Notamacropus eugenii: one gene and its partners. The protein of the gene in region 1 interacts with the protein of each later gene in a pairwise test. Links are inferred from orthologs where the notes say so. Each region holds a gene or a part of one and is shown in the gene's direction. Other genes may lie near its edges.

Evidence for each region.
Region 2: the proteins of CREB3 (region 1) and CGRRF1 interact in a two-hybrid assay, tested with the Homo sapiens proteins (2 studies listed by BioGRID and IntAct). The two-hybrid records come from large-scale screens. The link is inferred for Notamacropus eugenii from reciprocal best matches to the Homo sapiens genes CREB3 and CGRRF1.
Region 3: the proteins of CREB3 (region 1) and ABHD16A interact in a two-hybrid assay, tested with the Homo sapiens proteins (2 studies listed by BioGRID and IntAct). The two-hybrid records come from large-scale screens. The link is inferred for Notamacropus eugenii from reciprocal best matches to the Homo sapiens genes CREB3 and ABHD16A.
Region 4: the proteins of CREB3 (region 1) and MS4A1 interact in a two-hybrid assay, tested with the Homo sapiens proteins (2 studies listed by BioGRID and IntAct). The two-hybrid records come from large-scale screens. The link is inferred for Notamacropus eugenii from reciprocal best matches to the Homo sapiens genes CREB3 and MS4A1.

What each region holds. Positions count from the first base shown.
Region 1 is NC_092872.1:79,291,625-79,299,328, forward strand, and holds the start of CREB3 (cyclic AMP-responsive element-binding protein 3), read left to right. Parts: upstream 1-4,703; 5' UTR 4,704-4,813; coding exon 4,814-4,864; intron 4,865-4,968; coding exon 4,969-5,106; intron 5,107-5,248; coding exon 5,249-5,417; intron 5,418-5,556; coding exon 5,557-5,627; intron 5,628-5,801; coding exon 5,802-5,894; intron 5,895-7,704. UniProt on the Homo sapiens protein: Endoplasmic reticulum (ER)-bound sequence-specific transcription factor that directly binds DNA and activates transcription. Plays a role in the unfolded protein response (UPR), promoting cell survival versus ER stress-induced apoptotic cell death.
Region 2 is NC_092872.1:333,873,150-333,880,883, reverse strand, and holds the start of CGRRF1 (cell growth regulator with RING finger domain protein 1), read left to right. Parts: upstream 1-4,730; 5' UTR 4,731-4,859; coding exon 4,860-4,963; intron 4,964-7,734. UniProt on the Homo sapiens protein: Able to inhibit growth in several cell lines.
Region 3 is NC_092873.1:85,377,847-85,385,703, reverse strand, and holds the start of ABHD16A (phosphatidylserine lipase ABHD16A), read left to right. Parts: upstream 1-4,837; 5' UTR 4,838-4,927; coding exon 4,928-5,059; intron 5,060-6,195; coding exon 6,196-6,252; intron 6,253-7,071; coding exon 7,072-7,138; intron 7,139-7,354; coding exon 7,355-7,441; intron 7,442-7,857. UniProt on the Homo sapiens protein: Phosphatidylserine (PS) lipase that mediates the hydrolysis of phosphatidylserine to generate lysophosphatidylserine (LPS). LPS constitutes a class of signaling lipids that regulates immunological and neurological processes.
Region 4 is NC_092873.1:12,243,035-12,249,986, forward strand, and holds the start of MS4A1 (B-lymphocyte antigen CD20), read left to right. Parts: upstream 1-3,932; 5' UTR 3,933-4,097; exon of another isoform or gene 4,098-4,126; intron 4,127-6,952. UniProt on the Homo sapiens protein: B-lymphocyte-specific membrane protein that plays a role in the regulation of cellular calcium influx necessary for the development, differentiation, and activation of B-lymphocytes.

The sequences.
Region 1 (7,704 bases):
TTTTCTCCTCACAAAGTTGAGGACTCAAGAGACCTTGGATTATCCAGCTAGATCTCTTAAGGGGGATGGTCTGAGGCCAGAGGCTGGGGAGAGTATAATACATTAAGTGGCTGGATTGGCCTTGGGGTTAGATCACAGTGCAGTGAGTAGGTGGCTTGCCAAGGGTAGAAATGATATCAGAATATATATAGTCAATTCCTTGGCCAAACTAGGAATGAGATCAGGGTGGGGTCAGTGGCTGGGCCAAGCTCAGGGTAAGACCTGGGTGTGGTCAGTGGCCAGGCTGGGGATGTGATCAGCAGAGACCAGCTTCCTTCTCAGGCCTCATTTCCCTTTTTCTTGTTGGGGAGGGAGGAGGAAGATCTATGAGCCGACCAGGGAACTGGAAGAAGCTCATAACTGGGGAATTGCCAAATTGAAAGAGTAGGGGAGCTCAGAGCATATCCAGGATTGAGGGACTCAGCAGATGGTAAGGGACCCAGGGGGAAGTTAAGTTGGTGGGAATTTTTGCTTAAAAAAAAAATAAACAAAAAAAATAGATACACAGACATGGGGGTGGGGTGGAGTGGTGGTGGTCAAGGAGGATGTGAAAAGCAGGAAGTCATAATCTCCCACCCTCTTGCCTAGTCAGGCCCAAGGGAGGGGGATGGGAATTAAGTGACTAAGGAATGAGGGAAAAATGGGGTTGAACTTTCTGGGCACAAAGCCATTCTCAAACATACCTCATTTTTTATTACCTCAGGGCTGACCAACCTACTCCCCACCCCACAGACAAATTGGTAATACTTTTCCAAATAAGAAGGCAATGAGTCCTTGCCCTTTCCGTGCCACCAAATACTTCCCATTCTATCCCTCACACCACTTGGGAAGCACTGAAACCACTGACTTTGGGTATGGAATGGCCTTTTGCTAGAATCTGAAACCCTGTTACCATGGACACTAAGTCAGAAACTAGAAGTAAGAGTCTGGAGCAACAGTTCCCCACTCAAAGGGGATCTTGATGCTCTGATAACTACAAATGAAATGAGGACAAATGGTCTAAATTAGGGGAATTAAACTCAATTCGTGATTGAGGCACTGCTGTAGGCCACGATCTTTCAAACTGACCATGATCCTAAGCCTGAGTTCAGAATTTAATCCCTGAACTTCAATACTGATTCTGATCTGATCATTGACTCACTCTTACCCTGACCCTTAATCCTAAACCTTTGGACTTATTTCTAGCCTAGTCCAAATAGCTAACTCTCTTTCTGATTCCTAACCATTTAAATCTAATGCTAACCTATGACTAACCAAAACATTCAACCCAATTCCTGAACCCTAATGCTGACTCTGAAAAAAATCACTGACCTTTAACTCTCATCTCCTTAACATTAACGACTTCAAACACTGACCCTAAGTGGAAAATCATTATTTAGTAGATATTCCCAATGGCCTACCAATGATGCCTGAACCAATCACTGACTACTGACGTCTATCCTTAACCCTTACTCACATCCTTTCATCCTAACAATGATCCCAATTTTTGGATCCCTGATCAAATCTAAACTCTATTTGGCATTTAGAGTTTTTACCTTTTCAGTCTTTTCTCTGTGAACTCTACCACGCAGCTAGCCTGGTCTCCTAGCTGTTCTCCAGTTTCCTTGCCTTTTCACTGGTTGTTCCCCAAGCCTGGAATGCTCTATCTGCTTACCTCCAACTCTTAAGTTTTCTCTATTTTCTTCAAAATTCAGCTCAAATTCCATTTTGTGGTGTAGGCCTTTCCAGATTCCCCTAGCTGCTAGTAATCTCCCCTCTCAGAGGTCTTCCTACTCACTCTATATATCTTCTTTAGGTACTTATTTCATGAAGCTTCCTCCTCAGAATGTAAGCTCCTTGAGGGCAGGAACTAGATTTTCTTTTTTGCATTTCTTTGTATTTTTCATTGCACAAAGTCTGGCACACAGCAAGCACTTATCAAGTGCTAGTTGACTCATGGTTGGCTAACCGCCCTCCACAAACACCAATGCCATTCCTAATCCCTGAAGCCTAATTTGATTCTTGGAAGATAAATTCATCCGTAATGCAGACCCGAAACTCAAGTGCTACCCCTGACTTTTAATTTGATTCCTGACTAACCCTTTCCAATTCTAAACCTATGATCCTACAATCCCCAACACTGACCCACAAACTAATCCTGACTATCCAAACCTGTGAATCCTGATGCTATCCCTAATATTAGCCGTAACTTGCCCTCTGTATTCTAACAGTGATCTAAAAAACAAAAATCCTGAGTGTAGAGCTTGCCTATTTGTCATGAGCCTAAATCTTAACCAGGTTGCCCTGATTTCCTTCAAGCCTCAGCTCAAATCCCACCTGCTTGCCCTCTCACTGCACAATGCCTCGCTCTGAGATTATCCTCCATCACTCCGCACTATTTTGCCCGCACACAGACGTCTGCACGCTGTCTCCCCTATCATACTTCGAGCTCCTTTCGGGCGGGGACGCTGTTTTCGCCTTTTTCTGTGCCTCCAGGGCTTGTCACAGCACCCGGCAAGAAGAAGCGCTTCCATACTTGTCGCCCCACAATCTCAATAACCAGTAAGGGCCAGCACATCTCTCCTGTTATCCTCAGGACACCTCCAACGTCCATCGGATACTCGGCTCCAAATTCCAACCCCATTTAACTCGAACTTCCCCCAAACCTGGGGCGCACCTGAGCCTGCATCTCCGAACCTACCCGGCCAACGCCAAACCCAGGCACGCCATCCCGGCTCCGGACCCCGCAGCCCGGACCAGCGAACACCCTCCCACCCGGCCTTGGAGCCCTCCCGATCTGCCCCACCCCACCCCGCTAAGCCCAGCCGGGTCCCCCGTCCTGGCCCGCCTCACCTCCCCCGTCCCCACGATCCGCTCCCCCCTATTCCCGAACCCCAGCTTTACAGCCCAGGCCCGTCAGCCTCGCCCCGCTACCCCATAACTGTCGCCCCCCAGCATCCCGGGTACCACAACTCCGCCCGCCAAGCAGCTGGACAAGCAGGATGGACACACCCGGACCCTGACCTCTCGGGCCAAGGAGGGAGCCGGCGGCGGCGCCCACCCTGACCGCCCTGGCTGCGGACCGAGGCTGCGGCCTCCGCTCGACCCCTGCCTTCCCCCCTCCCCCTCCCCCCCCCCACCCTCCGCCGCGGCCGGGCCCCCTCCCCCGGATCCAGTCCCCTCCCCCCGCCCGGCCCTGCCCCTTCCCGCCGCCGTCCCGTCCTTCCTGGTCCCGCCCCGCGCTCGGCACCGCCTCGGCCCTACCTGGGCCGTGCGGGGACCTCTCGCTCGTTGGCCCGCCCTCCAGGTCACTCACTCGTTCGCTCTCCAGGTTCCCGGGTCCGGGGTCCGGCCTCGCCCTCCCGCCGACTGACGAACTCTCCGCCACTTCCGTCCCCGGAGCGCGTCCCCCCCACCCGTGGGCGGCGCCCTGGGCCCGCCCCTCTACGGCCCTGGCTGCTGCAGGAAGCTGCTCTGGCCCCCGCTCTCTATGCCTGGGAGCCGGCCCGGAGACCCGGGCAACTTCCCCTGCAGCGAGGGCGGCGCATGCGCGGCGCGGGCCGCGGCTCCGTTACCGCGCGCAGCCTAGCGGACCCGAGGCGCACTCCGCCCCGTCTCGCTGTGCTGCGGGCTGCTCTGGCGGGGGGGCGGGGCCTCCCTGGCGGGGGGGCGGGGCCCGGGAGGCGCGCCCCGCGGGAAGCCCGCCTCTCGCCCCCTCCTCAGCCCCAGACCCGCGGAGAGCCCGGCGGACGAAAGCGGACCCACCTGTTTCCCCGAGACTTCCCGGCCTGACCGAGCCCCTCCGTCTGCAGGGCATGTGTCATGTGTGAGTCTCCCCAGCAGACCCGGGAGCTCCCCCTTCCGCCCTCCGCCCCAGGGAAGGGCCCCGCCTGCCCTCTGATGCTCGTGGGGGTCGCTCACGCCCTTCGCGTGGGCTCGGGAAAGTTGGGGACACGCGCGGACAGGGAGGCCAGCGGGAAGCCCCTGTGTGTGTGTGACAGAGGCAGGGAGGGGCGCTCTCAGCGGTCTGCGAAGGGCGTGCGTGGGTGGTCACGGGGACAGCGAACACGTCGTCACTCACACCTTTGTAAACCACCTCGAAAGTACCTGACCGCCGATTCACGTCGCGACCGCACTTTCTGTTGGTGCAGAGGTGAGGGGCCACGGGTGCGGAACGTGGTGTTTGCTCCCCGCCTGTGTTCAATGGAGGGGGCTGGTGGCTGTCAGGAAACGAAAGGCATCAATAAAACCTAAACGAACAAAGAAAACTCATTGCGTGTGCACAGAGCGGGACCGATCGACCTCAGGAACGGAAAGCCTGGCGAGGGGTACGAGGCTCGGGGATACATGACAGCAGTCGGAGTGCGGGCTACATCCGGGCGGGCGTGGGGGAACTACATCTCCCAGCATGCCGCGGCCTTCTGGCTGACGTCATTTTTGTGGTGTTGGAAGGCTGGAGCTGGGTCGGGTTTGGGAGAGGCTGTCCGGGCTGGGGAGAGACGGCCCGAGGGGAAGTAGAACCCCAAATTTGGCCAGTTCGCGTAGAGGTGGAAGGGAGCAGACGAGGGGTGGGGTTGGAAACCTGGCCGAGGAGGCGGAGAAGTGGCCATTCCAGCCCTCCAGGGTAGGTGGGAGGGCGTGCCGGTGCTCTCTGCTTTGGGGGGCGGGGTGTGTGTGTGTGGGGGGGGGGGGCTGGGGCCGGGGCAGGGCCGGGCCGACCCTGGCCCTCTGCTTCCAACGTCCCCCCTCTGGGGCTCTATGATGGGGGGCCGGAGAGAACAGACAGAGCTCCTCCATGGCAGGGACGGCTTTTGCTTTTCTTTGTATTCTCTGTGCTCGGCATATTGTAAGGGCTTAATATGAATGTTGACTGACCGCCTTTCACCTTCTACCCTTTGGAGGGGAAAAGAGGATCAGGATGCGGATGGTGATTCCTTCTCCTTCTTCTAGATGTCCACCATGGAGCCTGTCCTGGACCCAGGTGACAACGACCTGCTGGATTTCCTGAAGGAGGAAGGGGGAGATCTATGGGAAATCCTTGGGGAGAGGGAAGAGGACCAGCAGGATGATGGGATGCTGCCTCCTGAGGTGAGTAGGGGCTGGGCCAGGCTTAGCCTTGGTTGGGGTAATGGTGGTGCTATAAATGAAGAGGAGAGATTCCAAGGAGAGTTGGGACAGGAAGCTGGGAGGAGAGGAGCAAGGCCTGCTTCTGAACTAAGTGGCTGTATAGGTGCTGAATGAGTGGGAAGCAGAAGAATTCCTGATGTCTCTGCTGGGACCCCCCACCTCACCATCCCTCCCAAGTCCTCCTAGCTACAGCTTCATTCACACTGATCACACTTACTCTCTGAGCTGGAATGTACAAGGTTCCTCCCAAGATGATGTCTACATTGACCTGGGTAAGCTGGGAAAGGGGAATCATGTATGCGGGTAGGTAGTGACTGGGAAGGCAGAAAGAGGATTCTGAGGGAGGGACATGGAAAGGGGGATGAAACTAGGAGCCCAGGGCTCTTGGTTCTAATTATTTTCCTCCTGCAGATGATGATGGTCTCAGAGATGTGGCTCAAGAATCAAGGGTCTCCTTGCAGATGGAAGAAATGACACTGCAGGTATCTGGAGGAGGGGCAAACATTAATAGTAAGGGGGAGATGATCACCTCTGATAATATCAGGATGCTTTGATCAACCCCACACTTCTCTCTCCTCAAGCTCCAGATGTCTTCTTCCCACTTTATTTACTCCTTGGTCCCTCCCTGTCACATGTCATTTTCCTGTTTTCTCCAGCACGAGTTTCCTCAGTTGATACTGACAGATGAAGAGAAGAGGCTGCTACAGAAAGAAGGGTTGACCCTTCCTGAGACTCTCCCCCTTACTAAGGTGAGACTCCTTCATGGTCACGGGTATCATGCCTGGTACCATTTGAGGATGGCCATAAAAGGTCTGCTTTTCAAATTTATGGGCAACAAACCTGGGATAGCTAATGTTCCAGATGTCCGAATCACATTTCAAAATACCTCAACAGAAACAACGTGCCCAAGCTAATATGATTAAACTTAGAAATGGCAACTCCAAGTAAGTTCAAGAGGACAATTGCACAAATATAGGAAAGGGGGAGATGTTTCTTAACAATTGCTGTGAAAAAGACTTGATGATTTTAGCTGATTGCTTCAATATGAAACAGCACGGTGAAGTGGTTTCTAAAAAAAAAACTAAGACATTCTGGGAAGCATTAATAAAAGTATAGTATCCTCCAAAAGGAAGCACAGCGCCTGGAGCATAGTGAACACTTTATAAATGCTTGTTGATGAATAGGGTGGCTATAGCATTTGCTGTTAAACTGAATCTAAAAGTGATGATCAGTACGTATGAATGAAAGAATGATTAAATAAGTGCTGGAGGTACAAATGGAAGATGGCCCCTGCTTTCGAGAAATTCACCTTTTGAATAGAGGAGACAACACATACGGAAGCTTTCAGCTGCTAGTCAGATGGAAAAATCCCATGGTTAGGCTGAGTCATTATGGGTTTATTAAGAATATGATGACCAGACTAGACTCATTTCCTTTGATGGGTAGATCAGAATAATGATTTGGACACGATATCTAGATTTCAGCATGGCATTTGATAGCCTTTTAGATAAGGTGGGGAGATAGAACCAGATACAATAGTACAGATAGGTAAATTTGGAATGAACTCAGCTTGGAGGGAAAACTCCAGTGGAGTGCTCGGATGCTGTCTCCTTGGCCTTTTTGTTCAATATCGTGAAGGCACAGATGACCTCTTGACAAAATTTTCAGTGATGGAGGGATAGCTAATATTATTAGCAGGGGGCTAGTCTTTAGATCAATAACCTAAATAGTTTCAGCAGGCCTAGTTTAAGATGATGAAATTTAATAGAAATAAATGTAGTCTTACACTTGGGCTCAAAGAAATCAACCTCGTGAATTTAGGATGGGAGATATATAAAATAGTTGTTTGTCCTTCGTTCTCAAAGAGGACCATGACATCAAGATGATGACATGACTTGCACTTGACTTTGATTTGAGTGAGGGAGGGCTGGGCAAGGTCACCAGCCTCACTTTCTTCTCCTGAGTCATCTGGGTCCAGTGACCAGATATTCATCAGGATGACTGGAGATGGCTCAGAATGCAGTGTGAGACCTTGACCTTTTTAAGCCAAGGTCTTATCACATTCTCACTCTGAGTGAGATACACCCATTCAATGAATAGGCCTCTGACATAAAATAGTAGTTTACGTGAAAAGGACTTGGGTATTTTAGCAAGCTCAATGTAAGTCAAAAGTGTGACAAATCAGAAAAAAAAAAGCCAGTGATCCAAAGTTGCATTATTAGTCCTCATGTCCTTTTGCCCTGACCAGGGCACATTTAGAAGACATCATCTTCAGATCTAAGAACCATAGTTTAGGAAGGCCATTGGGAAGCTGGTGTGTGTATAGATGAATAACAGCTTGTCTTTACACATTTGGACAGTCATTAGCTGGAGGGATTCTTTTTTGTTCTTGGTCCCAGGCAATAGAATTAAACCAACAGATGACATTTACCAGATTCTGATTTAAGTTAAGAACTTTCTAATGGTATATTGTCCAAATGTAGTACAAGCTGCTTTGAGAGTTAGTATGTCCTGTCATGTCTTCAAAGATTGGATGTCCCATTTATTCGGAGTGTGGCA
Region 2 (7,734 bases), about 250 Mb from region 1:
TCTTTTGAGAATTTCCTATTGGTATCTTTTGTCCTTTATCTATTGGGGGAGGTTCTAACTAGATCTCAAAGCATCTTAGCATACTCTCAAGCTGGGCACTTCACAGTTCACTAGCCTAGATCTCTAACCTAAGTGACTTTTAGGAGGAAAGAATTGGCCCCAGCTAAATAATGAGCCCTTTCTCTCAGGCTTAGTGAAGTGCTGCACCCCACTTCTCCCCCTTTTCTTTAATTTTCTGGACCAGTTTAGCATTGCCACATTGGTGCTATAGGACTAATTTCTGACAGGTCACCAAGGCTTTTAAGTGTGGGGCTGAGCTCTTATTTCAGGCCCATATATATGTCCTGCCTCTTTCAGTCTGTTCATCTACTCTCCTGCAGAGACCTTTTGTAACACAGAATGTTACCAACTCTACATTGGGTCTCCTGTCTTGAACCCAGCAAATTTCTGCTACCTGGAGTGTTACCATGGTGCTGCTTGTCTGTTGGGGCCTGAGCAAACTTCCATAGCCTAAAACCAGGATCTCCATGGCACTGGAAAGGGAGAGGGGTACCAGGATATAGCACTGGGTTTTATTGCAATCCTGTTCTGAGTCCTTGGGTACTGTTGCAAGCACATGTACTGGACCTCAAGGCTGGTAAGATCATGAGTGGTAAAGGAGGGAGTGCTGAGTGAACTCCAGTACACCCCTCTTTCTGATAATTTGTGTGTCCCATGAATGACAAGATTTCTTAGCAGGACACTGTCATCTTGTCAAAAGTCCTGACAATGAAAAGGAACATCATATCTTCTTTTCTTTCTGATGATGTAGCAAGGTGTAATTTTTTTAAAATTCTCTTTCAATCTGAGAGACATTCTAGTCATGAGTATCTGTTGTCTTTCTTTCTCCTCTGATACCCCAAAACACAGGTCAAAAGGTAGATGTGGCTGACACTGAAAAAATAGGTATAGCATAATACAAATGACATTATTCCTGGTAGAGTTGGTTCCTGGTTCCATGGAGATTTTTGTTCTGGTTTCAATGTCCCTAATATGTTTATCTGTGTGGTTGAAATGTTCCGATTATGGGTCCCCTTGATGGTAAAATATTTCCTATATTTCTTGATGTAAGTCAGAGCCAACATCTCTTTGAGTATTATACTTTAAAAGTCACCACCTCGGTCTGAGGAGATGTTTGCAGGAAGTCTATCTGCTGAGAAATATTTCTCCCACAATATTTTCACAGTTGTGGAGATTTTAAGGTTTTGTATTGGAGATGCTTCACTATGCCTAGTAAAGCAGTCTATCACAACCAACACATGACTTATGTTCTTGTTATCTCCTTCCAGCAAAAGAAAGTCAATGAAAGTGAGTTCCAAATGTTTTTTAGCACTTATATTATTCAAGTAAACCATATGTGTTAGTAGTACTTTGCAAACAGTGAGCAAAAGTCTCACATTTCTCAGTGATATCCATATTGGATCAGTAAATTATCTTTCTTTCTAGCTCTAGAATCCTTTCTTGACTCATATGTCCAAAATCATCACATAGAGCTTTCATGGCTGTATATGGCTTGGACATTATCAACTGGTTCCTGGTCCTGTGAGTGAGATTAATAACAGAGATGACCTCTAAATAGATAAGCAAAGAGGTATATGACTGTTTGTTGTTGTTTTGCTGAGAGGCTTAGCCTCTCAGTTCTCTCCTATCCCTGACTCATACTGGCTATATGACCCCTGACATATTTGACCTCTTAGAGCTCTAGGCAACTTTCTAAGACTTCTATGAGGAAGTAATAACAGTACTCCATTGCACAGCTCTAACTTCTGTCATTGTCTCAATGATACAGTGCCATTAGAAGACTGACTCTTGAGTTATTTGACAATGCCACCTTAAGAAGTCTTGGCTTGTATTACTTCACATAGCCCTTTGTAAATTTTCTGTTCCCTTCAGATGATCCACAGGCAACTGAGGCAATGAAAGTTGGTTCAATGAAATAAGATTCATATATGCTGCTGGTATGCAATCTGGACCTGGTGGGTTGATTCATGCACACAACCCATATCCCATTTATCCAGTGGAAACACATTTGTCTCCAATGCCACTTCTAGGTACATTACTCAGAAACCTCTCCTCTTTTCAGGTTCACTCATTCCATATATATCACTCAATTAAAATTCTGATAGCTGTTTCCCAACATCCAGGACACACCCCTTCTTTTCTCAATGAATTCAGTGCCTGGCTTACAGTCTTTCTCCTCAACTTTTGTCCTTATTGTAGGGGACTTTAACATGTATTTTGATACTCTCTCAAACACCCTAATTTCATCATTCTTCACCTTATTGATTCCTCCATGATCTACCCCTTCACAGGTGCTCCATCAGCCACCACTACACCATTCATATGTGGAACCATCAGTTACAACAAATGGAAAAGTTTTGAATGCTGTGGATAAGTTCACTTACCTTGGTAGTGTACTTTCCAGGGATGTACACATTGACAATGAGGTTGAGGCACACATTGCCTGAGCTAACTCAGTGTTTGGGAGGCTCTGAAGAAAGGTTTGGGAGAGAAGAGGTATTAGACTGACTACCAAATTGAAGGTCTACAGAGACATTGTGCTGACCTCATTGTTATATGCTTATGAAACATGGACAGTCTACCAGTGTCATGTCAGGAAACTGAAAAGCTTCCATTTGAACTGTATTAGGAAGATTCTGAGGATCACCTGGCAAGATAAGGTACCAGACACTGAAGTCCTTGCTCGAGCTGAACTGCCAAGTATTCAAACTATGCTTCAGAGAGCGCAGCTCTGATGGGCTGGCCACATTGTTCGAATGCAAAATGCACGCTTGCCAAAAAGACTATTTTATGGAGAACTTGCAAGGGGCAGGCAATCACATGGTAGCCAGACGAAATGACACAAGGACACTCTCAAGGTCTCTCTCAAGAACTTTGGATTTGACTGTGCAACATGGGAGACACTGGCACAGGACCACGCAGCATGGCGTGCCCACATAAGAAAAGGTGCTATTTTCTTTGAGCAAAGCAGAATTGAGACAGCACAAAGTAAACATAGGATGTGCAAATGTGGAATATCCACCCAAATATTCACATGGACTATCTGTGCCCAACCTGTGGTAGAGCATTCCAAGCTTGTATTGGTCTGATCAGCCATAGTTGGACACACTGAAATTTCACTTTACAATGGTGATGTCATTTTGGTCCTCTTCAAAGGACAACAACCAATCAACTCCACCCCATCTCAGCCCCCCACAAATATGGTTACATCCTTGATCTTGCCAACACCTACAAATGCAGCACTTCCATGATCACAAACTCTGAAATTCCTTTGTCTAATCACAATCTGTTGTCATACTGTCCTGCCTCAGCCACACTCTGATTTCCAAGCTCTTTTCTTTTCTAGACCACCCCTGCACTAGTTACACTACCTTCCCTTCCTCATCTTGAGCAATGGTGAACCAGTTCAACTCTATACTTTCGTCTTCTTTTGAGTCTCTTGCCCCATTATCCTATCACTGATCTTGCCCTGCCAAGCCTCAGCTTTGCTGCTACTGAATAAAAATGGAGGAAAACACAAAATTGTGCTGACTGGATGCCCAGAAATTTATGTTATGTAACTTCAACTGAGCCGTTACTATTGCAAGGCAATCCTTTAACACCTCCCAAATAACTTATTATCTGGTTCACCACAGGAGCTCTTCCAAATTTTTCCATCCCTCCTCAAAATTCCCATGGCTAGCCTTGCCCCTACCTTCCTAACTGAGGACTTTGCCTCATATTTTACTGAAAAAAAAAAATTAGGGCCATTTGAAAAAAAATAAACCTCCCTTTTCTCTTCTCTTCATCTCATATCACCCAGATGCCTTCTACCACTATTTCTCTCTTCATCCTAGTATCATATAATGATGCGGCCCTTCTCCTTGCCAATGCATAGCTCTCATTTCATCCCATCTTATCCAGAAGACTGCCTCTCTTTCATTCTCACTCTCACCTGTCTTCAATCTTTGTCTGTTTTCCTACTGCCTACAAACATTCCTATGTCTCTTCCATCCTCAAAAAACCCTCAATCGATCCATCCCTCCCCACTAGCTTTTGTCCCATGTATCTCTCCATTTTGTGGCTAAATTCCTTGAGAAGGCCATTCACATGAATAGGTGCCACTATTTCCTTTTCTTTCACTCTCAACTCACTACAGTCTGGCTTCTGACCTCATTCAACTAGAACTGCTCTCTCCAAAATTATTTACGATCTCTTAATTGCCAAATACGATTGGCCTTTTTCTCAGTTCTCACTCTTCTCCACCTCCCTGCAGACTGTGACAACGTCCATCATCCTCTACTCTAGTTCTCCTAATTATTCTTAGCCTCCCTGGTTGTACTTTCATCCGGGTTCTACCGCTGTGTGTCCCTAGAGATCCGTCCTGAGTCCTCTTCTCTTTTCCCACTATACTGTTTCGTCGGGTGATCTCATCAGCTTCCACAAATTCAGTGATCATCTCTGTGCTGATAATTCTCAGATCTACTTATCCATGTCTAATCTCTCTGCCGGCTTCCAGTCTCCCATCTGGAACTCAACACATCCAAAACGGAATTCATTATGTTCCCTCGAAGTCTCTGGGCTCCCTCCACGCTACCACTCACCAAGGCAAAAGGGGCGGGTCTCTCACGCAATCAGCGTTCTGATTGGCTCCCAGACTCCAGCTATTCCGATTCCGGGGCTTCACTTTTGTCAACAACGCAGGAGAGCGCGAGGCCAGCAGGTTTGTCCTCGCTGGCTTCCCATAGTCCGCAGGATTTCCGGGATACTTCAGTCGGGCTCAGGGCTGGACAGGGCTGGGATCCTGGCCGAGGTTACCGATGGCTGCTGTGTTTCTGGTGATGCTCTACGAGTATTCACCACTCTTTTACATCGCCGTGGTCTTCACCTGCTTTATTGTGACCACCGGCCTGGTGCTGGGATGGTAAGGGCCTGGGGTAAGGGGGGAGCCGGCTTCTAGGTCGGGCGCGGGGGACGTCGTGGTTACCGGGGAGGGGATGACAGCGGGAGGAGGCCAGGGACGCGGCCCCAGGCTCGGGGGGAGTCCTCGCTGACTCGCCTCCGCCCGACGGATAAACACCCCTTAGGCGTCACGGGCCGTAGGATCCCCACGTCCTTCCCAGGAACGTGAAGCAATAATTAGCATTTCTAAGTGCTTCAGAAACGTACTCTTTAGGCTGAATATTGAATTTTTCTTTTTGTCCCTTATTTATCTGGAAGGTTCGTTTTTTCCCCTAAATAAGCGTTGCTGAAATTCATTGAACGGATAATGATTAAGTTCTTCACAGTGCACATAAAAAAGAAAGAAAAAATAGGGATCTCTCAAGTATCAATGCAGTTTAGTTTGAAAGAGAATGCAGAACGCAAATGAAAATGTAAAAACACCGAAAGGAGAAAAGAGTTTGCAGTGAGTTCTAGGAAAATCAGCCCATATGAAGAACACTTTTATGTTGAAACTGGAAGGACAACAGAAGTGTGAAGTGGTACTGGTCCTGACTGGGATTTCTTTAACAATGTATTCTAACTGGTTACATAAAAGAATGATCATGTTTGGACTGTTTTTCTTGGTGTACAATGGGAGGGAGTTACAGTGGCACTTGAGATGAAGTTGGAAAGGGTGACTGGACCTGACTACCTTACAGACAGAAGAAACCCAAGCTGGAAGGGGCACAATTTTAAAAGAGTGTAAGGGCAGACTTTTCAAGATCTCTCAGAGGATGGCAAGCTGCTGAAGTATGAAAAAGATTAGAGATGATAAAGTAAGAGAGAAGGCATCAGATACTACTTGCTCATGTGCCTACTTTTCTTATCTTTAAAAAAGATCTTTGATAGTATCTTATCCTTATATTGAGGGTGTCCTTGATAATTAGAAGAAAAAAGTCAGCTTTTATAGCTGACCACATCTTTATAGACTCACAATTGACCTGAAAAGCATATAGAATATATGATATCACTTTAACTTATTTATTGATGTTTGAAAAGCATTTCACTGAGTAAAATGCTTATAGCTTTAAGGACTGATCTTTAATGAAGTGTCTCCAATGCACACATTAAAATTATATAATTTTAAGAGAGCTGTGAATACCAAAATAATTTTGTTCTGTGATAGGATTTTAACATTAAGTGAGAAAACTGGGAGACATATGTTTCCCTAAGAGGTTTTCCACTGATGAGGAAAATGCCCAGTATAGAATCCAAACAGAAGTTTTTTTATTGTTGATCTTGTCCTTCAAATGATTTTAAAGACTTAAAAGGGAACTCAAAGATCATGTAGTCCACAGCCTGTACCATTCATATTTTGCTAAAGATTGCATTACGATGAAACCTTAAGGTCCTTTCCAATTCTGATATTTTGTGAATACAGTATCATACAATATCCTTTACAAGTATCATCTAGTTATGTTACTGGCAAAATGTATGAATAGCTGGGGAGCTTTCCACTACTTTTCTTTGCCAACCTCAAAGGAATTATTTGACAGAAATAGACTTATTACAACTAATTTCACATGATGACAACTCTCCACTCCTCATCCTGAACAATATGAAGAACTCATGAGAACTTTGATACCTGGAGTTCTCATGGTACTATGACTCTACCTGCCATTGTGAGCACAAGTTTGTGACTCAGTCTGGAATGTGCTCATATTACCCTCCCACCACTACACCCTAGGTCCCTTACCATCCCTGCACTAGAGCTGGAAATGTTCAACCCTCTCATTTAACAGATGAGGAAACAGTCCCAGGAAAATTAGGTGATTTGCTTAAGGTCACTCTAGTGATTGTCAAAGGTAGGATTTGAACTGAGATCCTTTGACTCCATAATCTGTGCCTTTCCATTGTGTACCATGCTGCTGGAGAAGTGGGGAGAGAAAGAGAACCAAAAGACCAAACTGTCTAAAAAGGGAAAAGAAAAAACCTCAATAAGAGCCCAGTGCACTTGAAGATAATTCCAGTAGAAAAGTTTCTAAAAAGAGGAAAAAAATGAATAAAATCTCCCCAAAAAAACCCCAAAGTACACTTAAATTTTATGATATCATGGTAAATGAACCAGTAGTGCCTGATGAAAGAATCTTGTGGACTCCCCAGAGATAATGGGATAACAGCAAGAAATTCAAGAATGGTTTCAAAGAAAAATAAAATTACTTTAAAAAACAACAACAACCAAATAATCATTTACCCTCAACTTGAAGACCTTTCTCACTCCTCACCTCCCTTAGCAGAAAACCCACTATCCTCTGAAGTAGCCCCTCCTACTTATAGTTGGTGCTGATTTTTATGAAGTTTATTCTTCTAAAGAAATCTGGCTCTCTGCAGTGTTTCCCTTTTTTTCCACTTTCTGCTCTCAGGCACCAAGTAAAATAAATCTGATCTTTCTTATATATTTGATTTTGATTATCTTTGTTTCTCTAGGCTAAAATTCTTAGTTCCATTGATACTCATATATCATGCCCTCCAGTTTCCTCATTTCCTGATCATCTTCCTTTGGATACTCTACAATTTATTAATGTTCTTCATAAAGTGTGATACCCAGAACTGTGCACATTATTCTGGATATGATCTGACCAGAATAGAGTACTTCAGGACTTTTACAACCATCATTCCAGACATTAGAATTATGCTACTACAACTTAATATCACATTAGCTTTTTTGACTGCCATGTCACACATACCATTGACTCATCTTGATCTATGTTG
Region 3 (7,857 bases), on another chromosome or scaffold:
TGCCCTGAGACCAATTCATATTTTTCTTGGAGGCTTTGGATGGAGGAGTTTTGACTTTGTTGTCTTCTGTTTGCATGTTTTGGTCTTCCTTGTTACCAAAGTAAGATTTTAGAGTCTGATTCTTTTTCTGATTTTTGCTCATTTCCTCAGTCATTTACTTGACTTCAGAGCTCTTTGTCAAGATAGTTCTCTGCTTCCAGTGGGAGTGGGGGATGTACTGTCAGCTATTCGATCCTCCCACAGTCTGTGGTCCTAGAGCTCCAGAAACAGTGCCTGCAACTGCTCTGCTGATGCTGTGGCTATGGCAGGTTCATTTGCCCCTTCCCCCTCAGCTGTCCAAGGGCTGGGGCCTGACCACTCCACTCTCCTGCATTGGTCCCACAGTTCTTTCCCACTGACCTTCCAATTTATCCTCAGTGTTTTGGGATTTTGAAGTCTCAAAACCACCACAGGTATGAGAGATTCAATCTCCCCAAGCCCTGCTCAGGTTCTGTCTGTGCCAGCATGGCCCATGCTGGACTGCACTCTGCTTTCAGTGTGATGCGATAGACACTTCCCGGTGACCTTCCAGGCTGTCTTGGACTGGAGATTTGTTTCACTCCTTCATTCTGTGGGTTCTGCAGCTCCAGAATTTGTTTAGAGACATTTTTTACAGATATTTGGCTGGGCTTGGGGGCAGTGCTCTAGAAAGTCCATGCTGTTACTCTGCCATCTTGGCTCCACCCCTGAAGGATCCAGTCACCCCCTTTCTAAAGACCCACTCAATCAGGAACTCTTCCTTCTTAGTGATCAATAAGAGGATTGATACATTATCTAAAAGTACCAACCTCCCTTAGTGCTTCATCATGCTCATATGGTGTGCCCAAATCAGGAAAGACAGTTTTTCAAATGCCCTATACATTTCCAAGTTATATTTGTATGTATTCAATACCCCTTCAATCAAGCAACAAGCATTTATTAATTATGGTCCATGCATTGTACCAAGCATTGGGAATACAAAAGCAAAATGGAAGCTGTTGCCACGCTCAAGAAACTTACATTCCAATGGGTGTAATAGCATGTATATATCAAAACAAACAAAAGGTGATTATGGAAAGGAAGAAGGACATCAACTGCCAAGGAGGCCAAGAAAGACTTTATATAAAATGGGTTTCCAACTCTTTTTGTCCTCTATACTCCTTAATTTTCAGTAAGCATTCCTGTACCCCATATTTAATGAAAGGAAATAAATAAGTTACCATATCTTTACTTATGACTTAAAATGTATCAATTTTTCAGAAAAACTTTTGTAGCATTTTTTTAGTATTATATGGACTTGTTCAATACTTATCTAAACAGTCATATAAATAGTAAGGCCTGGCTCTGTTTTTTTTGTCAACCAAATTTTATCCTTGTTATGATTTTTGAGATACCTGCATATCATGTCTAGTCTCCAGTTTGTTTCTTGCTTTGGATTGGATTGGGATCAGGACAGAGAATTCTTTATTCACAAAAATAAATTGATATAACTGAAATTAAAAACCTTTCTGTAAGAATGTGATGTGTAGTTAACCCAAGGACCCCAGCTTCTGGGATAAGAACTCACTGTTTGACAAAAATTTCTGGGAAAACTGGATGGATAACAGTGGGGGAAACTGGGCAACCTGACACTGCACACAAGAATGAAGTTCAAATGGGTACATAATCTAGGTATAAAGACTGATACTATAAACAAACTAGTGGAGCAAGGAATAGTGTATTTATCAGATTTGTGGAGAATGGAGAAATTTTTGACTAAACAAGAAATAGAAAACATTATGAAGTATAAAAATGGACAATTTTGATTACATTAAATTGAAAACTTTTTGCACAAACAAATCCAATGCAACCAAGATTAGGAGGGAAGCAGAAAATTGGGAAAGAATTTTTGTAACTAGTATCTGTGATAAAGGCCTCATTTCTAAAATACATAGAGAACTAAGTCAAGAACCCAAGTCATTCCCCAGTTGATAAGTGGTCAAAGGATATGAATGTAACGGGACGAGTTAGAGTCGACCCCTGTCCATCGCAGGACGCCACACTGAGAGCCTGCCTAGATAACCTGGGGGCTTGTCAGTAGGGGTGGAACTAGATGGATTTCAGGAGGAAGGGTCTTGTCTTTGTTGGCAACATGGCAGTTCTTTGTCCAGTTCCAGATGTCCAGTGGAGAAGACACCCATATAAGGAATAATATTAGGTGATAGGTTCAATGTATAGGCTTAGGACTGTTCATGTAATTAAGACTATATATGCATGTGAGCTAGCTGGAATAAACGGAGTTCCCACTACCTTGTCTCCCGCCTCATTTCATTACTCACTAGATCAAGGCCTCTTGTTGGACAAGAGCCTTGGGTTGGGGTTTAGGGATTCCTGAAATGGTCTAGAGGACCCCAACATATGAACAGGCAGTTTTCAGAGTAAGAAATTAAAGCTATCTATAGTCATATGAAAAAATGCTCTAAATCACTATTGATAAGAGCGATGCAAACCAAAATAACTCTGAGAAACCACATCATACCTATCAGATTGGCTAACATGACAGAACAGGAAGATGATAAATGTTGGAGAAGATGTGGGAAAGTGGGAACACTCATTCATTGTTGTTGGAGTTGTGAGCTAATCCAACCACTCTAGAGAGCAATTTGGAACTATGCCCAAAGGTCTACAAAAATTGTTCTAGGACTATATCCCCAAGAAATCATAAAAATGGGAAATAGTCCCACACGTACAAAAATATTTATAGCAGTTTTCTTGGTGGTGGCCAAAAACTGGAAATCAAGGGGATGCCAATCAACTGGATAATGGGTGAACAAGTTGTGGTATATGAATGTAATGGAATACTATTGTGCTATAAGAAATGATGAACAGGAAGACTTCAGAGAGGCCTGGAAAGACGTATATGAACTGATGCTGAGTGAAAGGAGCAGAACCAGGAGAACTTTGTACACAGTAACAACCAGTGTGCGAGGAATTTTTCTGGTAGACTTAGTACTTCACTTCAATGCAAGGACTTAAAAAATTCCCAATGGACTTTTGAGACAAAATGACTTCCACAACCAGAGAAAGAATTATAGAATTTGATCGCAGAATGAAGCAGACCATTTTCTTTTGTATTATGTTTTGTTTTATGATTTCTCCCATTCATTTTAATCTTCTGTGCAACATGACTAAGGTGAAAATGGATTTAAAAGGAATATATGTGTAGAACCCATATAAAAGTGTATGCCATTCCAAGGAGGGAGTGGAAAAAATCCAAGATATATGGAAGTGATTGTAGAATACTGAAAACAAACAAACAAATAAAATAATTTAATTTTTTAAAAAAGAACATGATATGTACTCTTAACAGGATTTTAATGAGCTAGCCTCTAATTTGAGAATGACAAACAGCAGATCAGAGAAAAAGTACCAGTAATAAGACAGTTGTTTAATTAAGTAGTTTCATGGTGAGGAACAATGAATTGCAAATCAGGAATTCTGATCAGAATTCCACCTTGCTGCAGTGAAGACAGATTATATACATAAATCACAAATGGGAAAGGAGGTGAGAAAGTGGTTTACAATCCTTCCCAGGGCCACAATAGTATCCCATGACAAACCCACAAATGGAAGACAATACAATTCTGGAGTCAGGTGGGAGCAATATTGCTCAAGTCCTTGGCGGGTTGCTACTTCGTGGATCACAGGAAAAGAGTTCTGTGGGGCACACATTCTACAGTCTTTGATGCACTTTACGTTTGCAGGCAGAAGGATGCCAGTGATTGTCAGCCTTGTCAAAGTTTGATCAGTTCAAGCTGCTTGTGAGTCTTAACTCACAAGTTGGAAAAACCAATTCTGAGAAATCTAATCTATTAGTATATTCATTCCAATGTCAGGTCGATTATTATAAAAATTAGAATTTCCTCCACAGTACTTTCGAGAGTATTCTAAAATTTTTTGTACCTTCATTAATTTCAAACCATTTGGGTGCTTCTGGTTATGATGACTATTAATTAGCTTGCATTTCTTTGAAGTTAGATTTTTCTCGTACTTGATATGAAAAAGATTTCCTTTCCAAACTTCACTTACCTGGTTTTGGTTAGCAGAAATTATTCCTTCACCTTGTCTCTTACACATTTTTCAGATAAGGTACTATACCTTTTCCCACCCACTTCATGCTGCCTCGTGGTTCTTTTTTCAAATCCATAACTTTTTTCACTATTACTACTACTATTGAAATGTTTCAAATATTCTCTGTACCCCTAGGAGGAACAGAGACCCCAAGAGGGAACCCCAGAAGTAGAAAATGGTACTTGAAGGAAACAGAGGGTTCCAAGAGGAGGTGAGGCGGCTCGAGCTTTCTAGTCAAGGAGTGCTTAAGGGCTTGGGAGCAAAACTGTGCCTAAAGATTAGTTTGAAACTTTGTATCCTACGTAGCACCTAGCAAACAATTGTGTACACAGCACAACTTAATCTGTTCTAAACTTTCTATTGTTCCCAGCACCCAGCAAATAGCTCTGCACTCAGCCGTACTTAAACATTGTATCCTTCCCAGATCCTAGTACACTGCCCAGCACACAGCCCTGCTTAATCTAAACTTTGTACCCATCAAAGCACCTATAAAGTGCCCTGCACGCGGCCAGGCTGAATAGCTCCAAGTCCAAGTCCAAGTCCAAGTCCAGGCCGCCTAGTCCAGGCTTTTCCTAAAGCCTTTCTCCTCGCTAAGTCTCCCGTACCAGGAAAGTCCAGGCAGTGCCAATTACCTCCCAGAACTGATAAATAAGACCGTGCTGCGCGTTTAAGGAAGACGCCAGCACTATACGTGGTGACGTAAGAGAGCACGCACACCCAAGAGGCTTGGGGGAAGGCGGGGCGACTGGGGGGGGGGGGGGAACCTGCCGCTGGAAGAGCCGCGGCTGGAGCCGGGGCGATGGCGAAGCTGCTGAGCTGCGTCTTAGGCCCCCGGCTCTACCGGGTCTACCGGGAGAGAGACTCAGGAAGGACTCAGACTAGCGTTCCTGGGACTCCGGCCGCCATCACCACCTCCCCGGCTGGCTCCTGGGTGAGTCCTTTATTTCTCTCCCCTGGCTGGAGTCATGGTACGGCCCAAACCCGTTGCTGCTTTAGCCCCCCGGAAGCACCCATAGTTGGAATTAGGGGGAGCACGTTAACCTGCTTATTTCTCCCAAATACTGCGTATCTAGGTCTTTACTGTGTAAACTTAAATGCTTGTGGGTGTGAGCCTTTTTTCCTTTCTCTCCATCCATCCACTCACTTCTCTCCTGTTTTTCATTTATCTTGTTTGCGTTTTTTATTTACACCCCCTCCCCCACTCCCCCGTACAGTACCCCACCCCATCCATGTGTGTTGTCATGGCTCATGCCAGACCCCAGGTGCTGCCAGGAAGACCCTAGAAGGGTGTGTTCTAGAAATGGGAAAAGGGGTGGGGTGGGAAGATGGGGGTTGCCATAAAACTCATTTGTCTCGGCTCGAGCTGTCGCTTTGTCCTGTTCTGTCTTCATGTGTGTCTTCCCTTTATTAAGCTCTTACTTTCGTTCTCAAAATGACTTCCCATCAACTTTATCGGTACCCCCCCCCCCCCCAGCAGTGATGGTTCTGTCCATTGTGGGGGGGCACTCAACTGGACCATAAGAGACCCACAGAGCAATTCTATTTTCAGAAGTGGGGGAGGTTTTATATCTACTCCCTTATTGTGCCCATTCTCACAGACTCCCCAGTCTCTTTTTCTAATCACAACTACATTTTCAGGCTTTCTCAGTTTATTCCGATTTCGTAAAAGATCCTCACCTTCTCCTGTCATAGTGTGTACGCTTTGCCCTTTCGCCTGCACTTTCTCATTCTGCCCTCCCAGCGCCTGGGTTTCATCCATTTCTTAGAAGAGAGTTGTGAAAGAGGACAAAAGTCATTTATTGCTTTCTTCTATAGTCTTAATTCCTTGGATTGTCCCTGGGATGAGGGCTGGAGAGAGAGAGTATTGGAGCCAGATCTTGAGGTGGTGTCCTCTGGGGCGAGGAGACCCACATCTGGAGTCTTTTGCCTGGGGGTCCAAAGGGAGGTGGAGGCCGCAGACAGGTGGGATGATAAAATAGTGGGAGCTGAGGCACTAAAAGGAAGAGAAATGGACTGGGGTTGGGGTAAGATGGGAGAAAAGGGACCCTGACTGGGCTGTTTTTGCAGGAGTCCTATTATCAGCCCAGGGCCCTGGAGAAACATGCTGACAGCATCCTGGCTTTGGTGAGTTGGTCCTCTGCACTCTTACCTCCCCAGACCCAGTCGTTTTTTATGTTCCCCTTCCCAGTCTGGAAGACTGATTAGATTCTGAGCAAAGGGTTTTAGCCTCAGCTGAGGAGTTCTACCTCCCCATTTGGGATGCCATACAGCTTCCTCTGGGACAGTATGGATCATAGGGAAAACATGTTTACTCAGTTGGGACCTTCCCCAGGTACTGAATACTACAGTCTCCATAGACCTGTCTCCTCAAGTAACCAAGCTTCCTTTGCTTCAATAACAGCACTTCTCTCCACTAGGGTTCCCATGTTAGCATTTCTACTGTTATTTGGGGACCAGAATGTACCAAGTAGCAATGATGGAAAACCTCCAAACAAATTGTATAAAAAGAAGGACTGTGCTTTTTAAGTTTGAGCAGATCATATTCTTGAGGCTGTCTGACTTGGGGAAATGCATTTTTTCCCCAGTGCACTTATCTATCTCTACCCCTTTTCTCCCATGTATCTCTTTTTATTATCCTTTCCGTTCACTCTTTGACTTCCCTGTATGGTAGTTTGCATAGTATCTTCTAGCCTTCTCATCACCATTTTTAATCAGTCTAGGAAGAGTGTATTCTGGCAGAATGAAACATACTTTCTAACTTTCTGATATGTAAAGCACACTCCTCAACTTCCTCTCCCCAATGTGGTGTTCCAACCTACTTTTCCTGGCAGTATGGTATGCCTCATTCTCCAGATTGGTCAGAATCCAGTGTTGGAAATGGGGGAGCAGTCAGAACAAAGCAAAAAAAAAGCTGATTGTCCATTTGTCCATTTTTTACTGTAGGCCTCAGTCCTCTGGTCCATCTCTTATTATTCCTCCCCCCTGGCTTTCTTCTACTTTTACAGGAAAGGTCAGTGTGGGGTTAAATGGTTGGTTGGGGTTTGGAGTGGTGTGGATGTTGATTAAATGGAGAAACTTGTCTTAGGAGAAGGGACCCTATTCTGTTACTAGGTATAGCCAGTGCTCCCCAGAATGGTAAGCAAATGCCCCAAATTAGCCATTGAATAGAGGGGGAGGAACAATGGATGAAAGCAGAACTTGAACTCAGCTCTTTTTTTCTTCTCAGGTTACTTGTGTATGTCAAAGGTGGTGCCATTTTCTCACTATGCTGGGACATTGCTACTGCTCCTAGCAGGTGTGGCCTGTCTTCGAGGTGAGTGGTCCAAAATAGGCACATTCAGTATGCAGATATATATTAATTAGCTCCTGTACTAGAGTTGAGGGAGCGGGGGAGGGCAGGGGAGATACAGAAGAGCACAAAGTAAGATTCTTCATGTAATTTAGAATTTTGTTGGGGAGATAAAACACAGATGAATGAATGAAAAGATGACATGACAAATGAGTGGTATAGTTGATGAATGTATTGTTTGGAGATTATAACTAAAGATTCCCAGAAAAGATAAAGTTTGAATTGGACCTTGAAAAATGGAAAGAAAAAAGGTGGAGGAGGACATTATAGTCCCTGGAAAAAAATATGAGCTGAGCATGGAGGTAAGATAGCAAATGATAAATTTAGGAGACAATGAGGACACTAATTTAATTAAAGTGTTTTTAAGGAAATGGTGTGAA
Region 4 (6,952 bases), on another chromosome or scaffold:
ATAAGGCACATTTGAAGGGAATACATATGGCCAAGGAAACTCTTGTAGTATCTCTCATGGGCAAGACCCTCAACTAGGCCCCTTGGTTCTTCTCTCTGCAGATCAACTCATATTAAATATGTACATACATACATACATACATACATGTATATGTCTCCTGATGTTTTATTGAAGTTATTATTATTAGGCCTGAACTATAAAGAACTATGCAAAAAGAGCTAAAATGATGTTTCCTCTTTACCTATACCGTACTTATTTCCTCAATTTCTTTTTCTCTTATTGCTAAACTTAGCATTTCTAGAACTATATCAAATAACAGTGGTGCAAATGGACAGCTCTGCTTGCTTTTGATCTTTTTGAGATTAAGTCATAAAATTCTCTCTGTCTTACTCTGTTAAACTGAGAATTTTATATTTTTGTAAATACAGCTGTTAAAGCTTTAAACTACACTATGACTTTTGGGATACCTTGCATTCATCCAATTCATTATGAGTTCTGTTAGTACATAATTGAGCAAAACAGTTTATAATTTCCTTTATTTCCTCTTCATTTCCTATACATTCCCCTTTTAATTTTTTTATATTATCAATTTGGTTTGCCTCTCTTTTTATCAGATTATCAGAAGCTTATTCATTTTATTAAGGTTTTCTTCCCTCAAAAAAAAAAAGGCAAACCCAACTCCTAGAATGATCAATTCAATTTTTTGTTTGACTTTAAATTGTGTTCTTTTGTGTCTTGTTTCCATCAAGTACCAATTCTCAATTAAAAAAGTGGTGAGTCTAGATTTATGTGTTATTATGTACTTACCTGGTCCAGGAGGGAGGGGTCTTGAGGACTTGGGCACAAGGCAGTTGTGAATGGCACAGGGCATCCAGAAGCTCACACTCAGTACCATGGAAGATATCTTCAATGAATGCTACCAATGCTGCCACCATTTTACGTCAAGTCCTGAAATAAATCAAAACTATGAGGTGAGGAATAAAGCCTCTTTAACTGAGATAACAGCATAGCAAACATGCCATCCTGGGGGATGTCAAGTGGACTTCCCAACCAAATTGACTCATGAGAAAGTTTGTATAGTTTTAGAAGGAGAGAGGAGAAGACAGTATGAGGTAGAAAAGCCTGGTCATGAAACCCCAGTGGCTCTTGGCAATTTGGGTAAGGAAAACCACTTCATTCTGGCTATTTTGCCCTTCATGCCATAAATTCCAATGGCTGAGATCCAGCTTGAGCTGGGCTTCCCCCAAGGCAACATCCCTGGGTTGGGGCAACCTAAGGTGTGGTTCAGCTCAACCTAATTCAGACTAAATATCTTAAGAGTTGGTATATAAGTGACAGTAAAATTGGGAAGCCAATTGAGTTAATGTATGGGAAAATTCAGGCACTGGGTTGCTTTCAAAGACATGGTCTTTTCCTTTTAGGGGTCTAGGTTCCTCTCCCATCATAAGAACATTACTAGAATTTTGACATTGTCATGATAAGAGGTTTAGACAGTCCATATTACAATCAGTATTAATTTTCAGTCATTACCTTAACAGTTTAATCATTTCTTTTTTTTTCACTGTTTTAGTTGCATGCTGAATTTATTGATTTGTCCTTTTTCTCTTTTGTTGATAAGTGTTTAGAGATATAAAATCTTAGAGATACAGAGATATAATATGCTTCGGCTGCATCCCCAGAGTTTCAGTATGTTGTCTCACTGAAGTCATTAGGATCTCAGCATAAAAATGTCCAACACAGAAGTGACTATCTTCTCACATCTAAAGCTGCCCCTCCTCCAAAAGTTCCAAGGTCTGTTGAGAGTATTACCATCCTTCCAAAGTGAATTTAAAATCTTAACATTGTTTTTCCCTCCTTCAACAGAAGAGTAGACAGAATAGGAGGAGGCTGGAAACCAGAAAATCCTGGGTTCTGAGTCACATCTCAGACATTTCACTAATGTGATTTGGGCAAGACACTTTGGCAGAAAACACTCTGCCCTAATTTAGTCCCTTCCGCTCCCTTGTCTAAATCATCGGATCTTTCGGACTTTCTCTGCTTCCCATTTCTTATCTCCCTGTGGACCTTCCCTACAGCTGCAAGATGAATAAGGCACAGTTAGTCCATGTCACCTGGGCCACAAAAATGTTCAGTGTCTCCCCATTGCTTTTACAACATGATATGATTTCTGCTGGGCATCAGAGGGCCTCTACAGTCTGGCTCTAACCCTGTCTTTTCTTCCAGACTTGCTTTACCTCATTCACTCAAAGGCCCTGCTTGTTCTAGCCAAACAACTGACTGCAGTTACCCAGAAATCGACATTCCTCCTCATACCTCAACACATTTTCATCAACTGAAATTTCCTTCTTCCTTTGTCCCACCTATCCAAATCTTTCTCTTCCTTTAATTCCTCTCTGGACTTTCTTCAGGGGTAGTCCAATGTAATCCCAATGTTTTCCACCTATGGGAGTCATTTTCCAAGGATCTCAACCACACACACACACACACACACACACACACACACACACACATATGCATATATAGGTCACTAGTCTTAGCTGTTGCCTCTTCCTGCTGGAAGCTTTCTTTAATACTACCAATTGCAAGCAGCTCCTTCATCAAATTCCGTTGCATTCCCGATATTTACTTATCTGGGTACAGGCCATATCTCTAAATCACCAAACCACTGCCACCTACCCCCACTCACCAGATGCAAACTGGAGGGCAGGGCTATATTGCTTCTATTTTTATACTTCAACCACCCAGCAAAGTTCTCTGCATATAATGCAGTGCTTTATGAATAAATAAATTATAATAAATCCTTGACTGGCAAATGTCTATTAAGTTTAACTTGACTAAGTTCTAAAATTATCTAGGGAGTGCCTGAAATGTAACACCTCATTCCGAGCACATGGATTTAGCATATGTATACTAAATTTAAGACACTACTAAATTACTATTCCACAATTAGTAAACCATATCTTTCATTCACAACATATCAGACCTATTTTTCAGTCGCTTACTGACACGGGAATCACTATTCCTGAGACACCACTGAATGTGGGGAGTAGAGCAACAAGTGAGTATATCCATTCACTGATTTCCTCTCTGTCAGGCTGCTACCATGTAACATCCCATGAAAAGTAGGATCGAGGGATGTTCTGAGAAGACTTGATGCCCGCACATACACACACAGACATAAAAGCAATGTCCTCGCTGGAAGTTTCCTATTCCAGTGAAATCACAAGGCTGGTTAAAATCAAAATCTCACATGATGCTTAATAAAGTGCTTGTTGAACTGAACTGAATGACTTTACACACCTGAAAGGGAAGTACATGGAAATACAAGATGGCTTATTATGTGGAGCCCAAGGAAGAAGAGCAGAATGAGTCATCTGATAACCTTTTTTTTCTAATAATAAAAATTAATAATAAAAAAAAATCTGAAGATCCTTTGATAGGAGTGTGCTGTAAGTGTTTAACATGCTAGGGTGTGGGGGGAGACTGCAGGCAAGACACACCTTTGAGTTGAATGTGCATTATTCACATTTTCTCCAACACTTTCTAAAGTCTGCACAATCAACAAAACAAAAAAAATGAGTCCAGATTTGTAACTAATTTCTAAAGGGGGCTCCAATACATACTCTCCTTGGATCCCAACTGCAGAGATACTTCTTCCCCACCAAAATGAAATGAAAGGGAAAAGTGGCATCCTGCAGAAGCCATTACCAAATTGCTGGGGATTCTCACAAGCCCTTTCTCTCCCTCAGGGTCCCCATTCTACACCTGCCCTCTGGGTGGGGACTTCAAAGATCTTCTAATTCAGGCCTGGCACAGCTCCCCAGGGTCCCCCAGGGAATCCCTTTCAGGAAACGAAACTAAGATGTTTTAGGATGTTTCCATTTGCAACATCTTCTGGGGTGGCTGGTGATCGCAGGGCATGGGACGAGGGGGACTACCGCTGGGTATTTCCTGCCACCTGCTTGGGTTCAGCTTAGTCTAGCCAAGGCCTCCCCTATTTGCTTTCACACCTACCTGCAGAAGGCTGGCTGACTAAAGGTTCCTTTCTTCGGCTGCTCTGACCCCATCAATTGGACAGTCCCAACAGGACCCCACAGGTAGGTGGCCTTATCCCCTTTAACTCCATCTAAAAGTATCAAATGAGAGAGTTAGTGTGGCCCAGCAGATTTGATTAGGGATAAGGAATAAGCATCTAAATCACCTGTGTTGGCAGACCTTTCCACCTTTATCCTCTGGCAAGTGAGAATAGATTAAGAGCAATTGGGAGATGGCAGAAAGAGCTCCATACTGGCCCAGGGAGGCTCTGACCTATAGGAAAAATCCCACACTGATTCTCTGGGGGGCCTTGGATCACTCAGAGCATTAGTTTACTGACTGTTAAAATCAAGCTAATAAAATTGGTGTGGGGAAAAGCACCTAATAAACCCTAACGCAGACAGTCAGCAAGCATCCAGCACCTATCGTGCCAGGCCCTGTGCCAAGCCTAGGAGATATGATGAAAGGCAAAAGCAAAAAAAAAAAAAAAAAAAAAAACCCATTTACAAGTAAGCTTCCAGTCTAATTCAGGGAGAACACAGAAAAACTATTTACAACCCAAATAAAGACTGAATAAATTCAGAGAAATGGAAATGAGAATAAGGAGGAACAGAAAGGCTTCTAGTCACTGGCAGGATTTTAGTTAAGGCTTAAAGGAAGCCCAAAAAGTCATAAGGCAGAGGTGAGGAGGAAGAACATTCTAAGCATGGGGGACACTGGCAAAAGTGCCCAGAGTCTGGAGATGGAGGGTCTTGCAAGGGACAGCCAGGAGGTCAGGGTCACTGGATCAAAGACAACACAAGGGAAGTGAGGTGTAAGGAGACTAGAAACGGAGGAGGGGATCAGGGTATGAAGGTCTTAGAATACCAAACAGAGCACTATATAGATTGTTATATACAGAGAGATTGTTATATATAGATTGTTGTATATACATATATATATAGAGAGAGAGAGATTGTTATTTTTTCCTTCAGTGTTGTCTTAGATCACTGTGAAACCTGGGAAAGAGACTTCGTAGAGCTATGTGACTTTTAGTGGGCATAGGCAAGACCCCAGCCCCAAAATGTCTGTTATTCCTCTAATATCATTACACAGTATCATTGGATTATACCCCTAGAACTGGAAGGGACTCAAGAGGGTCCTAGTTCAACTGATGGCCAAGGAGGTTTGGGGTTCCATCAAAATGTTACTATCCACAGGAGTAAAGTTTGACCCGTTCACCTCTTCATGAGCATTAACAGATGAAGAGCCTCCCTGAACAACAGAAGCTAGACTCTACCTGAGGTGGAACAGGGGGAGGGCACCAACACAAGATGTCAGGGATGTTAAGAATCTCCCAGGCTGAGTCTAAAATCTTGGTTTTGCACCCAAGGAAGTGACCTGCATAAGGCTATAGAGAGCAGACTTGAAGTCAGGCCCACAGCACCCCCCCTGTTCTCACAAAGTGGCTGCCACCTTCTGTAAAATGGCAGACCTTCCCTATTTAACCCAAGCACAGAGTAAGACTACCCCATGGGAAACTGATGGGATAGGGACAGAGAGAGCTGTGGAACAGGCATGTCCTGCATCCTGACATCAGACCATCTAGGGCCTGCTGTAGAAATGTATCTATCTCTCAATGCAAAGATACCTTGCTCTGTGTGATTTAATTCCACACAGAGATCAGTTTTCCTGGTGGCTTGGACCATTCCACCACAAGTACTTATCAAGCATTCTATAGCTTATTTCTATTTAATACCCAGGGCAGGGGGTATCAAGGGAGGAGGCATATATATGTCAAGGGATGGGTCTCTGCCTCATCCCATAGTCATTCACTCCAGAGGCATTTATTCAGCATAGTAATGTTTGAGGAACCACTGTCCCCTGCCATCTAGGAGGGGATGCCCTGGATAGCTGCCCTACATAGAATTATAGCCCTTTCCATTCATCATCTCATTTGATCCTCACAAGAATACTGAAGAAGATAAAGCTTAGAATAGGTGATCTCATAGCCTGGGGGAGATGGAGCCAAGTCAAGGATGGGACACAGCACAGGTTGGTAAACTGAGACCATGGGCTCAAATTCATCTACCTCCATTTGCTATATGTGTGACCTTGGGCACGTGACATCTCCCCTGGAAAACTGAGCTATCCGGGAGACCTCAAAGCTCTACATTCTTTTGCTCCTATGGCTCTGTTTTTATCTACAATCCCAGCTCCACAGGACTTTGTCCTGTTGTTTCATTGGAAGCTTACAGTTTGGCTTTTTGCGTTTATCTTAAAAAGTCTCAGTATAAAGCAGAGGTTCATCACCTTTTGGGAATCATGGTTCCCTACGGGATTATGGGGAAGCATATGGATCCTTTCTCACAATAATGTTTTTAAAAATCATAACTGAAAGAAATACAAACTTCCAATTACTAAAAATAAAGATGTCATTATTTTCCATCCAAGTTTATGGTCCCCATGAATTTATCCATAGATACCTTGGAAGTCTGTAGACCTCAAGTGAAGAACCCCTAGAATAAAGGTTCATTTTAGGATGCACAATTTTTTAACATAAAAAAAAAAGTTGTACTGATACAACCATGTCACTGGACACAAGCAATCTGCTAGTTCATGAACCGGAGCTAGGGCTCTTTGGAAGAAACCAAAGCTTATAGAAATGAAGAGACCTACCCAGCTAATGAATGACAGGGGCAGTTTCTAAAACCCTTTTCTGATGTTTTCTTTTCTGGTGACTGAAGGGAAACTGAGGGAGGCTAAATGAGCCTCCTAGACAGGTCCTTCCCCCCTCCCCCAGAAATACCATCCCATGCAGGCCAATTCAAGGATGTCTGAGAATAAAAGGGGATGGTCCGGGGGAAGGGCCTGGGGCCACAGCTTCATTTGGGTTGCTCTGTGAAGGTTTCATTCCCCCTCTTCCCCAGCCCCGACC